Linked DNA regions of Astyanax mexicanus. The protein of the gene in region 2 interacts with the protein of the main gene of each other region in a pairwise test. Links are inferred from orthologs where the notes say so. Each region holds a gene or a part of one and is shown on either strand. Other genes may lie near its edges.

Region 1 (7,403 bases), on a different chromosome or scaffold from region 2:
CACCACTTAAAAATGATGAGTTTCTTTGATTTTACCAAATTGAAAACCTCTGGAATATAATCAAGAGGAAGATGGATGATCACAAGCCATCAAACCTGCTTGAAAGTTATCCAAAAGCAGTGTGTAAGACTGGTGGAGGAGAACATGCCAAGATACATGAAAACTGTGATTAGAAACCAGGGTTATTCCACCACATATTGATTTCTGAACTCTTAAAACTTTATGAACATGAACTTGTTTTCTTTGCATTATTTGAGGTCTGAAAGCTCTGCATCTTTTTTTTTTTTGTTATTTTAGCCATTTCTCATTTTCTGCATACAAATACTCTAAAGATTTTTTTTTTATTTAGGATTTGGGAGAAATGTTGTCTGTACTTTATAGAATAAAACAACAATGTTCATTTTACTCAAACATTTACCTATAAATAGTAAAATATGAAAAACTGACCAGTATTATACCTTTGAGGGTACAATTCAGAAAAGTGTACCTTTAAATACAAGAAAGTACTTATATCATACCTCTGTTTTTTAGTGTGCATGTGTGACAGTGCTGACATATTTTCTTGTCTTTTTGGCTTTCAGTTCACCACACACACACTCACATACCGCCATTTAATCCCTTCATGACTCAACATCTGGGCGCTCCTGGTCTAACAGGAAAGTAATCTAAACTGAAAGTAACAAGCATCTCTAAGTAACTGTTTACCAAATTACCAGTTGACAGATCAAAGCAATGCATGAAAATAGCTGCTGGATTGACTGTGTTACTGTATGCAAGGTGAAATTCTCTCTTTCCTGTCTCTCCTTTTGAGCAGGCGTTCTGTGCTTGCCCTCTGGTGTGCTATCAAGGAACTGACACTTCTGCTTTCCAAAGACCTGCCAGAGGCCATTTTGAACACAACATGAATAGCAGAACTGCAAAACAATTGTGTGTGCTTTACCACATACTTAAAGCTTTGAAATGGTGGCAGCGTTTGATCGCTGAATACAATCAACCACTCAAACCATGCAGCCCGCATGACTCTGACAGCCTGTATAAGCTGGGACTATATATATAAATATATATATATATATATATATATATATATATATATATATATATATATATATATATATAGAGAGAGAGAGAGAGAGAGAGAGAGAGAGAGAGAGAGAGAGAATGTGGCAGTATTAACTAGATCCATGTATTTACATAAATTAGCATTGGGTCCATCATAAGTAGGATAATTTGAATTTTTCAACGAGTTTGTTTGTCTTGTTTTTGAAGACTAACCTACAGCTGACTATAATATATATATACTATAATATATTATATACGAAACTGAACATAGTACTATATGTTAAATACACTACACACTGTACTGTACTATAAGCAAAGTGTATTTTATAGATAGTGTGCTATGTTCACGGCTACTTCTTACTGCCATAATTAGGAGTAGTTTTAATTGGCTTGTTAGATGAATTCCCTCAATTGGGCTAATAATACTAATACTAATAAAAAATTGTGCTACTGGTAAATTTCTCTGACTTTACAGACAACATTCCTTCCAAATTCCAAATAATAATATTGTAATTTAGTGCATTCATTTGCAGAAAATGAAAAATGGCTGAAATAACCAAAAAGATGCAGAACTTTCAGACCATAAGTACTGCAAATAAAACAAGTTCATTCATAAAGTTTTAAGAGTTCAGAAATCAATATTTGTTGAAATAACCCTGGTTATTAATCTCAGTTTTCATGCATCTTGACATGTTGTTTTTGGAAAAAACTGAAAAACAGGTACAGTATAAATTCCGGACTGTAATGTTTTTTGTGCGATAAACAATATTATTGTCATTTTTAGGAGAATTTACACCTTTTTAAAGACAACATATCTGTATCTAATCATAGTTTGGAAAAAATATTTTTTTTCGCACCTGTAGTCACAGTTATTGAAGCATTGTTCAGTTATTGAAGCATGCCAGTCTAAAATACTGTTCACTGTTACAGTTTATATGTAAAAAAAAACATACAATTAAACAGGATATGCAATATCACAATTATCAAATATTATTGAGGAACAGTAAGTCAAAAATATAACGATCACAACTGGCCTAGTCATGCATGTCAATGTCAAGTGAAAGTATCAGTTAGCCTTAATGTGCTTTTAATATTAAAATACATTTTTATCTATTTTAATATTATTACCTTTAAATAATATTAAAGTAAATAACTATATTTAGGCATATCGAGTATTTGTATTTAATGTATTCAAGAGTATAGCTAATTTGTGTTATTATCTAGGTAAAATGTAACTGTTGGCCAATATAGACTGTGCTAGTTAGCTTGCTAGCTAAGTTTATTAGCTACTACTTTCACTTTTAATGGGTCTGTGAGAGGAACTCACACTTTTGTGCTAAATTACTACTAGCAAACATTTACATATCATTGCTGTCCAATAAAAAACAAGTGCCTTTAAAATAGCAACTTTACACAACAGAAAAAAACTTCTAAACTTTCAATGAAAGTTAATGTAAAAAGAGTTAATTTCAGGTCAATTTGAAGTATTTCTGTTGATCTGTTCATCAAGAAATTTTGGCACAATGTAAAAGACCATTTGTCTGTTAAAATAATTTTTTTAGCTAAAAATCAACAAAAATGTAGATACTTGTTTTTCATTGGACAGCGACTATATGTAGCATAGTAATATGTAATAATTTAATTCTGAGCATCTTTGAAAAGTTTCCCCTCTCTGATTAGTACAGTGCTAACAGCAATTAGCACAGTTAGCTGTTAGCACTGGTTTACTTAAATAGCTACAAATACTTCAGCCTTAAACACTTTTAAACAAATCTACATGTATAACATATTAACTAGTAAGTAGCTAACACATTCATTATAAATGTGTTTTATAAATTTTGGAGAAAAAAAAAAATAACAATGCACTAAGAAACAAACTAGCTAGCTAACCAGTATATTTAGTCTTGATATATTGAAACAGATTGACTGACACAGTTTAACTTAGAAATTAGCACAAAATACTGTCAGTACTAAACATATTTACATATTAACATAGTAGCTAGTATGTAACATGTAACAGCACAGAAACATTAAAGGATTTATTTATTTACAATTACACTTATGTAGCACATTTCACAATTACATTCCACACACACTGTGAGAAGCGGCAGCCAATCACGCACAGCCTACTCTCAACCGGAAACAACCATCCACCTGGAGGACTGCATCAGGCATCTGAGTTGACCCAGATCCATATCTAGGCATACATTCAAACACCAGGTACATTTTTTTAGAGTATCCAATTTTCTGGGCAATTTAGATATTTAATTTACCTCATCTCCCTGTTTTTGTGGACTGTGGGAGGAAACCAGAGTCCCTGGAGACCCAGATAGGGACTTGAACCCAAGATCCCAGGAAATAACAAAGCCACTGTGCTTCCCCTTATTTCAGGGGTTGGCAATAGGTGGCCTACGGGCAAGATGTGCTCGCAATATAAAAAATATATCTGGCCCGTGAGGTTGTTTGAACTATAATGAATGTTAATGAAAAAAATAAATTAAATAAAATGCTTCTCAGGCTAGCTTTTGTTTACAACCCTCCCCTACCTCTCTCTGGCGTGCTCAGTTCCCGCCTGTTCTTGGGCTACTTATGAGGGTGTTTTTTCTCCGGCCGTGTCCCAATTCACTAGCCGGGGCAGCGGTACTGTTTCAGACTGCGACCCTGATGACACGGGTTCGTTCCCGCGTAAGGAGTGGTGTGTTTATTTATTTATTTTTTCCTTTCTTCTTGGGTTTACCTGCTTTGAGATCAACTGTTCTGCTGCAATTGGGTTCAACAACCCTCTGGGCTGGAGAGCTACTAGTTTTTAGCGCTTCACCTCATTACTCACTTAATTTTCCAAAACAGATTTTTTTATGGGATACAAAAATATCTTACTTATTAATATACACTTAATTGCCGACCCCTGATCTATTTAAAGACTTAAATCTACTTGTAATACAATTTCCCTAAGAAAATGAACTAAAGACAGTCCAGCAGGCTCGACTGCAGGTTTATGAAAGTGGGCAGTCCCAATTTTAAGGAGGGGATGTTTTAAGGGGAAGGGTTACACTGGAAAACAAGGGGAAGGGGTACCAATTAGAAATGGGATTGGACCTTTAAAGTGTTGAGTGGACGGAGGGAAGGAGAGAAGGAGAGAAGGAGGGGGGCGGTTGAAAACTTTTCTCTCTCCGGCCAGTAGCCTGTGATACACACACACATACACACACACACACTCTCTCTCTCACACTCACACACACTCACACACACACGCACACACACGAGGTGTTGCGTCAACACAGGCTGTCTGTCGGTCACCGTGGGCTTACAGATGTGTGTGAAGGTGTGCGCGCACACACACTCACACACACACACACACACCCCTCCTCAGCAGCCAGAGCAGCAGCAACCCGCCTTATCTCTCCCTCCCACTCGACTGCTCTGTGTTTTATGTCTGCGTCACAACAAGTCGAGAGAGAGACAGAGAGAGAGAGACAGAGAGAGAGGAAGAGAGAGAGAGATGATGATGATGGTGATGATGGTGATGATGATGGCGTCTCTGTCGGCTCAAGCCTCCCTGACAGGCACGTTTTAACAACAGCGGCGAAGGAGAAGAGGAGGAGCAGAGGAGGAGAAGAGGAGGAGGACAGAGAGAGTGAGAGAGAGAAGAGGAGAGGAGGAGAGAGGGAGATGAGAACATGACGGAGCGGCGTGGCACGAGACAGACGGACTGACGGACAGACTCAACACTGACGACTTGACTGACACACACACACTGATATACACACATACACAAACACACTCATATATACACACACATACAGAGAGAGAGAGAAAGAGAAAAAAGAGAGAGAGAAAAAGAGAGGAGAGCACTCTCTCTCTCTCTCTCTTTCTGCTTCACACACACACTCATACACACACACACACACACACACACTCTCTGAAAGCACATCCACAAGAAGAGGAACAAGAAGAAGAAGAAAAAGAAGCAAAGACAAGCAAAAACAGCTCGAGGTCGGACATATTTTCATGTCAAGCACCGACAGCAGTCTCTGTGACCCCAGCAGAGAAGAGTACCACTTCACAGGTAAAGCCAGCATCCTTCTTTCTTTCCTTCCTTCCTTCCCTCCTTCCTTTCTCTCCTCTTTACAATCTGTTTCTCCATCCCCATCATCATGTGTCTAGAACCGGCAACAAGAGTAGCATCAGCAGCATCAGCACCAGCAGCAGCAGCAAATCCATCCCACCCCCCCACTTCTAACCCCCCCCAACCCCATCAACCACCCCCCCGCCCCCTCAACCCTCTCTCTCCCCACCACCTCCATAACTCATAATTCTTCCTTTTCTTCATCTTCAGCCTTATTCCTCCCAAACACAACATCACGCCACCTTTCCTAATGTGCATTCGTGCATTCGAGCTGCTGTTTGCTGTTGCGTAAGGAAGGAAACCCACAGATCCGGTTGTGGATCCAGTACAACAACAGAAAGCAAGCAGCTCCCTCGGAGCTAAAGCCTCAGTCTCTCATCATTCACAGCCCTGTACATTTACACTGTCGCTATGCACTGAGTGTGAGTTTAACCCTTTAGGTGGGAGAGTGCCCTGCATGCTCCTGAGGCCCTCGGGGCTTTCTCCTGCACTTTAAACTCCACCGGTGGAGTCAATGAGGGTGCAAAAAGCAGGGCATGGTTGAAAAAGTGAGGAAAAGTGCTCTATTGGCTGGACTTTGCAAAAGGAAAAAGTGATCAAGCGCCCACTAAAGCTGCTGAGGTGCCACTTCTCGCAGTTCATTATATGATTATGTATCTTTTAGAAGAGGAATATTTGATTATAGTACATTTATATGTCTCAATTAGTGCCTAACTATGAGTGGACTTCTGCTTTCCTGCTGTTATGCAGTGTCTTCTGTTTCTATGCCACCCCCTTGGGTGCCCATTCCAGCAGAGAAAATGGGATGCGTTGCTTTACGATGTTTCCCTACAGGTAAAACTCAATGAGAAATCACAGTGAAGTGTCCAGTTAGGTGCTTAAGCCGCAAGACAGTGTATTAAATGGGATGCAGTGCCAGAAAGGGTGTCCTAACATGTGTGAGAGTGTTGGAAAGTTTACTAATGAAAGTCTCTTTAATAGAGAATATGTGATGTGATGTTCGTATAGAATAGGTGCCCTCTCATTAGGATCAACAGTGTTTGATTAAAAAAAAAAAATGAATGATGTTTAAAAAAAAAAAAGGTAAACCTGCATTTATTCATTCTATTTAAGTTTTTTATGTTTTAGCCAAACCCCATCTAGAATGTACACATGATGTCAGATGGGACTTAATTCCAGTAGGATTTTGTGTGTGAAATAAAGTGGTAATAAAGTAGGTTTGAGAGCCTAATAATATAATGCTAATATTACTCAAGAATAAGGACTATTTTATCACACAGGGTGTCCCAGCATGTGTGTGAGAGTGTTGGAAAGTTTTCTAATGGAAGTCTCTTTAGTAAAGAATATCATCACTGTCCAATAAAAAACAAGTATCTCCATTGTTGTTGATTTTAAGGCTATTATTTAATTTGAACACAAAAACTTTTTTACACTGTATCAAAATTTCTTGATGAATGGACCAATAAAAAGTCTCTAAAATGAAAAAATAAAAATAAAATAAACTCTTTTTCCATTAACTTCCAATAAAAGTTAAGAAAGGTTTTGTCTCTCTCCTGTAAAGTTGCTAAAGTTGTTTTGGAGATACTGGTTTTTCATTGGACAGCGACGATATGTAATGTGATGTCCCTAAAGAATAGATGCTCTCTTATTAAGATTAACTGTATTTGCTAGAAAATGTATTAATAATGTTTAAAAAACAAGTTTTTTTTATGTTTTAGCCACACCCCCTCTAGAATGTACACATGATGTCAGATGGGACTTAATTCCACTAGGATCTTGTGTGTGAGGAGGTAATAAAGTAGGTTTGAGAGCCTCATAATATAATGTTAATCTTAATCAAGAATAAGGACTACTTTATCACACAGGGTGTCCCAGCGTGTATGTGAAAGTGTTGAAAAGTTTCTTCAGTGAAGAATATTGTCACTGTCCATTAAAAAACAAGTATCTCAGTTACTTTGAAAACAAAAACTGTCTTTTACACTGTATCAAAATTTCTTGACGAATGGACCAATAAAAAGTTTCTAAAATGACTTAAAAGTAAAGAAGGTTTTATCCCTCTACTGTAAAGTTGCTGTTTTGGAGATACTGGTTTTTAATTGGGCAGTGATGATATGTGATGTGATGTCTCTAAAGAAAAGATGCTCTTTTATTATTTTTTTTTTATATATATATAATTTTATTTCAATGTTTCCCATTTTCTCCCCAATTTACACGTTCA
Region 2 (8,095 bases):
AAAGTGTGTTACTGATGGTTTTCTTGGTGACTGTGCTCCCAGCTCCCTTGAGATCATTAACAAGCTTACTTTGAAGCTTTGTCAGAATCATCCTTACCTTACAGCACTTTGGTCCTGAACATGGTGGTCGAGAGGTTTGAATGGAAAGGTGTCTTTTTTTTACACATAACAAGGTGATATATTAAGAGTACTTTCTTAAAGGGACAGGACTAAATTTTGTGCAACCTGGGACAGTGTGCATTTTTGGGGTCAGAAATCTTGCTGGTTGGTAGGGAATCAAATACTTATTTCACGTAATCAAATACAAATTCATTTATTACCTTTACCTTTACTTTTAGGTGTATTTTTATAAACATTATAGACTGTTTGTGTCTTAGTGAGGTTGTTTCTATAGACTTTTTCCCTTAGTAAATGATCATCTGAAAAATGTACATATGATAAAAAAGCAAAAACTAAAGAAATCTGTAGGGGGCAAATATTATTCACAGTACTATATAGATTTCTGCACTAAAATATGCAGTGCATGACACCTATTGATCACAAGACAGAAAGTTGGTAGTACTGGTTAGACAGGGGAGACTGGTTTGGGAGCTTCACCTTAGATGCGAGGAAGTAGTTAATCAGGTTGAGGTTGAGCAGGTCTTTAAACTCCTCTGCGGTTGTCTCATCCGTGGGTTTGTGGGGGGGATCTGAAAGCGAGAGGGACAGGGAGCGTCACTGTTAGATCTGGGTCAAACTTTGCTTTCTGTAGAAGTGAAACAAAGCGGAATCTCCAAAGTTTGACTAAGCAAATAAATTAAACGGAAGGATGGGGTCAAGTACTCACGCCAGCCAGCATTATTAACCAAACAGTCTATCTGTCCGAACTTCTCCACAGTCACAGTGATCAGTCTCTGAGGAATAAAAAGAGAGACAGAAGGTAAACAGACAGTAGTATACAGAAGCCAGGGAAGACAGGATAAGGGGAGGACATGGGTTTCATAAAAGGCTAAGATGGTGCACCTTGATATCTTCTTCCTTGGATATGTCACAGGGCAGGAAGAGACAGGAGCCTGGACCTGCTGCATTTAGCTCCGCCTCCAGCGCTTTACCTGCATCAGCTAATGAGAGAGGGCAGGTTTTAGATATTTCAATAAAGAGGTAATAAGTAACAAATAAATAAACATGCACTAATTAAGCCCTTCCAGTAACTGAACAGAATTATATCAACTGTTTCTCCTGTTTCTTCTTTTTTTATTATTAATGGACAGATTTTTTTTACATTAAAATCATTAAAATCTCACAAAGTCAGTTAAAATAATAACTTACAACAGTAAAGAAAAATAACAGATTTTTTTCAAAAGTAAAATACTCTGGTTGCTTATTGAGAAGTTAATACTAAGCTAGGTAACTAATAAAAATAACACAGTAATAAAGTGATTAAATAAATATGCACATTAGTTCTGTATGCTATAGACAAAAATCCAATATTTGATAACACTGATATTGATGTGAACAGTATAAATTTAAATTTAAATTATTTTAAGCTCCTCAAATGTCCCCCACCTCTAACTCACCATTAGGGTGTAAATATTCTCCACAGGCCCCCTGCTTTTGTATTTTGTATATGTGTTTAACCCTGTCCTCAGTGTTAAAGGCTAAAAAAGCAAGTTGCTATGCCTTGTGTTGCTGAGTGTATATAGACTATATGCTGAATGGGTCACATGACTGGTAATAATACAGATATGTAATAATCATGAATTTCCAGTTCCTAACGTACATTAAAAAACATAGTTTTGCGCCCACTGTATTAATTTAATTAATGTAAAACGTGTTAATGTAAACATTTAGTAGTACTTAAATGAAGCCAACTAAAAACACAAAGTGAGTTTTTAAGTTGATGAGACCTATTTTAATATTTGTAAACTAAATCTAAACTAAAGCTTTCTAGTTTGCACAACTGGTGGTGTGTTTCTTCAAAAAAATTTAAAAGTTTGAGTTGGCAACAAAACAAAAAAATTTAGTGCAGTAAGTTGCCTTAAAATGTTGAGTTATATATATATATATATATATATATATATATATATATATATATATATATATATATATATATATATAGAGAGAGAGAGAGAGAGAGAGAGAGAGAGAGTAAGAGAGAGAGAAAGAGAGAGAGATGTCTGGAAAAAGTTAAGAGACAACGTTGTTGTTTTATTATATAAACTATGGACAAAATTTCTCTCAAATTCCAAATAAAAATATAGTCATTTAGAGCATTTATTTCCAGAAATGAGAAATGACTGAAATAACAAAAAAGATGCAGAGATGCGAAGAAAACATTTTTTTTTTAAATCAACTAGAGATTTTTATTGTATTTAGAAAACCATAGAACTATTTAAACACTGAATCGGTTTCCTGAATTGACAGGGTTCTGTACAGAATAAACACCTTTACAACATAACCCTGAAGAGAGGCGTAGACCAGGTGAATAGATAAGGAAGAGAGAATGTGAATAAACACACAGAAGTGTATATTAAGTACATATTATTAAGTAATAAACAAGTATTCAGATAAATGTGTGCAGCTCTATAGACAGGAAGTGAGGACGTAATGAATAAGGGAAAGAGGTAAAGAGGTAAAATATAAATATGAGTGCAGGCAGAAAGTAGAAGGTGTACAAATGTGTAATAAACAGGTGTATTTACCTCCTCTGGCGCAGAACACAACTTTAGCCCCATTCTGCACTGCAAAGGTAAACAGCAGGAGAGCCTCGTTACACACACACACACACACACACATACACACACTCTTATACACAGATACACACTCTCCGTTCACACTGTTCCTCCTCCTCCTCCTGCACCTGCTCTCCAGTACCTACCGAAAACCTTCACGATCCCCCTGCCGATACCCTTCGACCCCCCGGTCACCAGCGCCACCTTCCCGCTGTAGCGCTGAGAGCTCGCCATTCTGCACCTCCAGCAGCTCCAGCAGCAGCAGCTCGATCAGCTGACTTCCCTCTCTCTACACTACACTACACTACACACACACACACACACCAATCAGCGCTGCAGCTCTCCACCCAAACACCAACCCCAGCCTCACACACAAGCACATCAGGCGCACAGCACGAGCTCTGCGGCGGTGCATTGTGGGAATTGTAGTTTGCAGCCCCAGCAATAATAAGACCTACACCAATCAAGCATAACATTATGACCCCGTCTTTGTTAATATTATACACCAGGGGTTCTTTACCTGGGGGTCGTTTTGAGACACACTTCCAGGGGGTCGCGTTTTCCCAGCTAAATTTGCGTCAAACTTTCAAACCGACTCTTTCTTAGGCTTGATTTGGGGTACGCTTAAATTAGGTTGCTTTTTATAAAGTTTAAACAGAGTTCCGAGGACTGAGTTCAATGGTGTTGAAAAAACTTCAATGCATTAAATACTGTGTTTTACGAACTGTATTATAAGGAAATTAACGTTTATTTTCTAGTCTATTTTATACATAAGGCTGGATGTTAATCTGCACAGATTTCTCTCCTGAAAACGGTTTATTTGGGTGAGTAAAGCACTTCCGTTTATTTACATTAAGCTTACATTTCCAATATTTTTGTGCGATTAGCAGCAGTGCTAGCCGTGGTTAGCAGTGCTTAGTGGTAGTAAATGCTGTCCGACAGTTCCAGTAAGCCAGGGGCCCGTAAGCCAGTTCGTCCCACGTAGTTTTAACGTTATAAACATGCAGTTCAAAATACTCAGTAGTAGCAGCTAAAGCTAATACTGCTTCAGCCTCAGTACTGGAAAAACTTCACTGAGACTCCTTTATAATTCCTCTGCCGTACTTCAGAGGAATGGCTTTTCTGCTCCTTACAACCTGACTGGTAGAATTTATACATAAGGCGCACTGTCGATTTTTGGGAAAAATAAAGGGGTTTAAGTGCGCCTTATAGTTAAAAAAAATCGGTAATCAAACTTCTGTAAAATCCATTTACAAAAACTAAAAAAAAAAACATAAATAAATTAAAACGCACAGTATCTCACTAAAAAAGAAGTAAACCTTTTACATTTTTGTAAATATTTTGTTATATATTTACAAAACACTGATGTCATGGTGTGGTACAGAATACAGACACTCGCGGAACCAGTTAAGGATTTTATTGAAAACCCACAGGCTATATAAAACAGTAGCAAAGAGTAAACAACACCGGTAAACAGATACCAGGAGGTAAAGACCATTACCGGATAGTGAGGCAGTCCAATGGTCATACACGGGGCAGGCAGTATCAGAGATAATCCACAAACAGCAATGATACACAGTCCAGAGATCATACACGAGGCAAGCAGTATCAGAGGTGATCCGAAACAGAAACGATAAACAGTCCAGGTAATACACGAAAATCCACAGAGTGAGCAAGGCAAAAATCAAGGTCGAAAAAACAAAAGGCAAGGTCATACACAAGAAAATAATCACAGAATAAACACTTTGTAATGTGGGGGAAACAAGGCAATACGCGGCGCAGATGTGTGTGTGAGCAGTCCTTTTATACTGCAGGTAATAATCAATATTCAGCACTTCCTGGCCGGGGCAGGTGAGGTGTCACGTGATCGGCAGTGTGTGTGATGTCAGTGGGTGGTGCATTCTGGGTGTTGTAGTTGTCTAACTGAGAACCTCAGTTGAAGCTAAGTGTGAAAGGACAGGGAGCGCCTACAACACCAGATGTGACAGCTGAAGATGTGACACATTTATATCTAAACCACTGGCAACAATCCTCTTCCACCCTCCATGACAATGACCTTGCATTGCTCTTCCTTTCCTTTAAGGATGCCCCACAGATGCTCATTAGGGTTTAGGTATGGAGACATGTGTGAGCATTCCAGCGAGCACAGACTGTGCATCAACAGCTTTTGTCTCTGACTTTACATCTACAAGTAGGAGCAGCCATGTAGGAGTGTCTAATAAAGCACACCGTCTGGGTCCACAGTGTTTAAAAACTCTGGCACTCTATCTATTTCTACATACTAGGTGGTGGAAAGGAATAAGCATGGGCAGCTTGGCTGCAGCTATGCAGTCCAGCTATGCCCTAAATTGAGGTGGAAGCAGGGATGCTTGAAGCTATAGAATGTGTTGTTGAGGCCCGATTTGTCATTCAAATCAGTCACAGATCCAGTTTTTCTGGTCTGATGAGTTGGGATTTGTTCTCTTTATGAAGACATGAAATTGTAGTCTTTTGTAAAGGATTGCTTCGAAGGTTTGTCTCTCTTGTTTCTGTTGTGAATATCTAGTTTTAGGTAGATCTGTTTCCAGTTTAGAAAAAGCAACTTTTCAGCTCAGAAAAAACAGGGTAATCAGTGTAAGTCAGTGTAAGTGTTTCAAAATCTAGTGCACACATAGATTCTAAACACAAAAAGAATATACTGACCTGTAAAAAAACCTGTGAAAAGGAACAACTGATCTTTATTTAAACAATACAGAGAGGTTGAGGTAACATATAAAACTGTTAAAATTCTTCTTATAATCCATAAAATGGTAAAACACCCTCACATTAAATGCTACTTAAACTGTCAAAAATTAGACTCAGCTACAGATGACTAGAACATAGTTATATAGGATTTTGGAGGTCTAGTTTGGTTTGCTCTTGATTGTTGAAGTAAGTTGTATCATCATGGACCAAAAAGCTCCCTGAGGCCTTTGAAAAAAACATCTGTGCAGTTAATGCAGTTCTGCAGCTTTCTTGCCCTCTCACCAGTCCACCTTTGAATGCATTCTGAACAGGTTTCTCAGTTTTCAGTCTTTGTCTGCCACACCCAGTTTTAAGAACACTTTTTCTCTGCTTTTGTGTAGAATATTCTGTCAATTTTGTATTTTTTATTATGGTTGTATCATATTTAAAAGGGAATGCAGGCTGAAGTAGCTACTGCTGTGGGCATTCATCATAAAGTAGCCAACTATGCTAACTTTCCAGTAAATTTAGTCTATTTAGAGTTATTTAGAGCATATTTAGAGCGTAGCTGACTAGCTCTTAAACAACATAATGGGGCAACACAGAACTTAAAGCCACTGTTGTTCAATATATGGTTGAAGTTGTTCTTTTCAGATTTGAAGCACCTGTGAAGTGGACTCATTGAGTGCTGTGAGGCTATAAAGGAAGACATTATTAGCCTTAGAGATAACCCAAAAGCCTGAAGAGCACCAGACACAGTAGCTTCACCCGAGCCTTCTAATTGAGCCACTTCTTTGTGTAAGGATGTTCTAGTGATGGTTATCCCCCCCACGAAATTCTAAAAGCAAATGTAGTTACGTTTGGGTGAATGTTTCATGCAAGTCTCCACCTTTTTATATTGTGTTCATAAAAATGTTGTTCAAGCTAAAATCTCCTCCTTTTTTATTTTTTATAATTTTATTTCTATTTTTTTTCCCCATTTTATCCCCAATTTACACAGCCAATTACCCAACCCACTCATTAGGACTCCCCCAATCACTATCCTAACACACCAGGAGGGTGAAGACTAACACATGCTTCCTCCGATACATGTGAAGCCAGCCACTGCTTCTTTTCGAGCTGCTGCTGATGCAGCATTGCCAAGCAGCCAGCGCGAAGGAAAGCGCAGCAACTCGAGTATGTCAGCTCACAGACGCCCTGTGCTGTGCTGCCCTGTGCTGCAGACATCACTGTTGGATTGACATCTGGAGAGAGAGAGCGCCATCTACCCACCCAGAGGGAGCAGGGCCAATTGGGCTCCCTCTGAGCGCCGGCAGCTTGATGGCAAAGCTGCATGAGCTGGGATTCGAACCTGCGACCTCCTGCTCATAGTGGCAGCACTTTAGACAGCTGGACCACTCGGCGCCCTTCTCCTCCTCTTCCCTTTTAAAGGAGCATTAGGGATTATATTTTCTGTAGTTACTCATAACATGACCAGTATGTATCATCATCAGATATTAAGGAAACGTGATATTTAAGCACTGGCAGCTCTTGTCAGTAGAGCTTTTTTTTCTGTAGTAGGTTACAGAAATCCATGGAGATCCATGTAAACACAATAGCGAGTGGAAATGAAGGAGCTACTGAACGTGATGTCATGTGACAGAGAAAGCCAATAAATTCTCTGGTCCTCCTGTTTTTTCGATTGCACTTCAGATGCAGGAGTTTTATCAATGAGTAGAAGTGTAAAATATCCCCCTGAGAAACTAATCCCATACAGATAAGGCTTAAGTTACTTTTAAGTTACTGCCACCTCTACATAACTAATTATTTTGCCAAAATTCACTTCACTAGAAACCTTAGCTGATACAAACTCAGAATAGTGTCTGTATTTCCAGCTAGAAAACGTGCATCTCTTTCCTCCCTCCACTGTTACTACCGTAAGTTACGCTTTACTGACGTCACTGATTGTAACAGAACTGCCAGTTGGAGTTCTCCTCCAAGCGTGTTGAGCTCCAGTGGTGCTGTTTTAGTGGCAGTGTGGTGGAAATCCACATGTATCAGAAGAAGCACAATAGGAACTAAAGCAAGCATTTAGTCTTTAATCAAAAACATATTTGTTTAGTGTGTCCTGTTTCTGCTGTTTCTTTTTATTTTGACCATGCTATGTAATATATCCAGAGCTTTGCTGATGATCTTCTGTAAATAACTTTTTTTAGGAAAATGGAAAGTTCTGTCTTTATTATTATATTTATTAAATTGCATATTAAAATGTGAGAAGTGTTTTTCCTGAAGGAAGTGCAGAATGGTTTCACAGCTTTCGTGGCTTGCACTTCCATGCAAGTGCTACATTAGTGCTTTGGGTATTTGTGGTTGTTTTCATGATGTTGCTAGCTGGTGGTTATGGTATTCCAGAAGGTTGTTTTGGTGTTGTTAAGAAGTTTCTATGGTTTAATAGGTGGTTGTTAGACGGGTGCTGTAACTTTGATATTTTAGGCAGTTGCTATGGTGTTGTTGATAGACAGCTGCTAAAAATCACGTTGGCCTGTGGATCGTGGCATTACCAGTTCACATTGCGTTGACCTTGCCTGTCCCTTTCCTGGTAGGATGTTTTGAATGTTAAGTCAAGTAAAGAGGCCTTTGTTTTCGTTTCAACTGTGGACTGTAAATAGTGGAACAAAATTATGTCCCTGCAGGGCTTTAGT

The links.
Region 1: the proteins of hsd17b14 (region 2) and phf1 interact in binary tests that used the Homo sapiens proteins (3 or more experiments, as listed by UniProt). The two-hybrid records come from large-scale screens. The link is inferred for Astyanax mexicanus from reciprocal best matches to the Homo sapiens genes HSD17B14 and PHF1.

What each region holds. Positions count from the first base shown.
Region 1 is NC_064408.1:114,662,289-114,669,691, forward strand, and holds the start of phf1 (PHD finger protein 1), read left to right. Parts: upstream 1-4,306; 5' UTR 4,307-5,125; intron 5,126-7,403. UniProt on the Homo sapiens protein: Polycomb group (PcG) that specifically binds histone H3 trimethylated at 'Lys-36' (H3K36me3) and recruits the PRC2 complex. Involved in DNA damage response and is recruited at double-strand breaks (DSBs).
Region 2 is NC_064426.1:17,506,194-17,514,288, forward strand, and holds the start of hsd17b14 (17-beta-hydroxysteroid dehydrogenase 14), read right to left. Parts: upstream 3,096-8,095; 5' UTR 2,946-3,095; coding exon 2,858-2,945; intron 2,721-2,857; coding exon 2,682-2,720; intron 1,101-2,681; coding exon 1,003-1,100; intron 894-1,002; coding exon 827-893; intron 690-826; coding exon 598-689; intron 1-597. UniProt on the Homo sapiens protein: Catalyzes the NAD(+)-dependent oxidation of L-fucose, yielding L-fucono-1,5-lactone, which rapidly converts spontaneously to L-fucone-1,4-lactone. Can also act on D-arabinose and L-galactose, with lower catalytic efficiency. Does not use NADPH.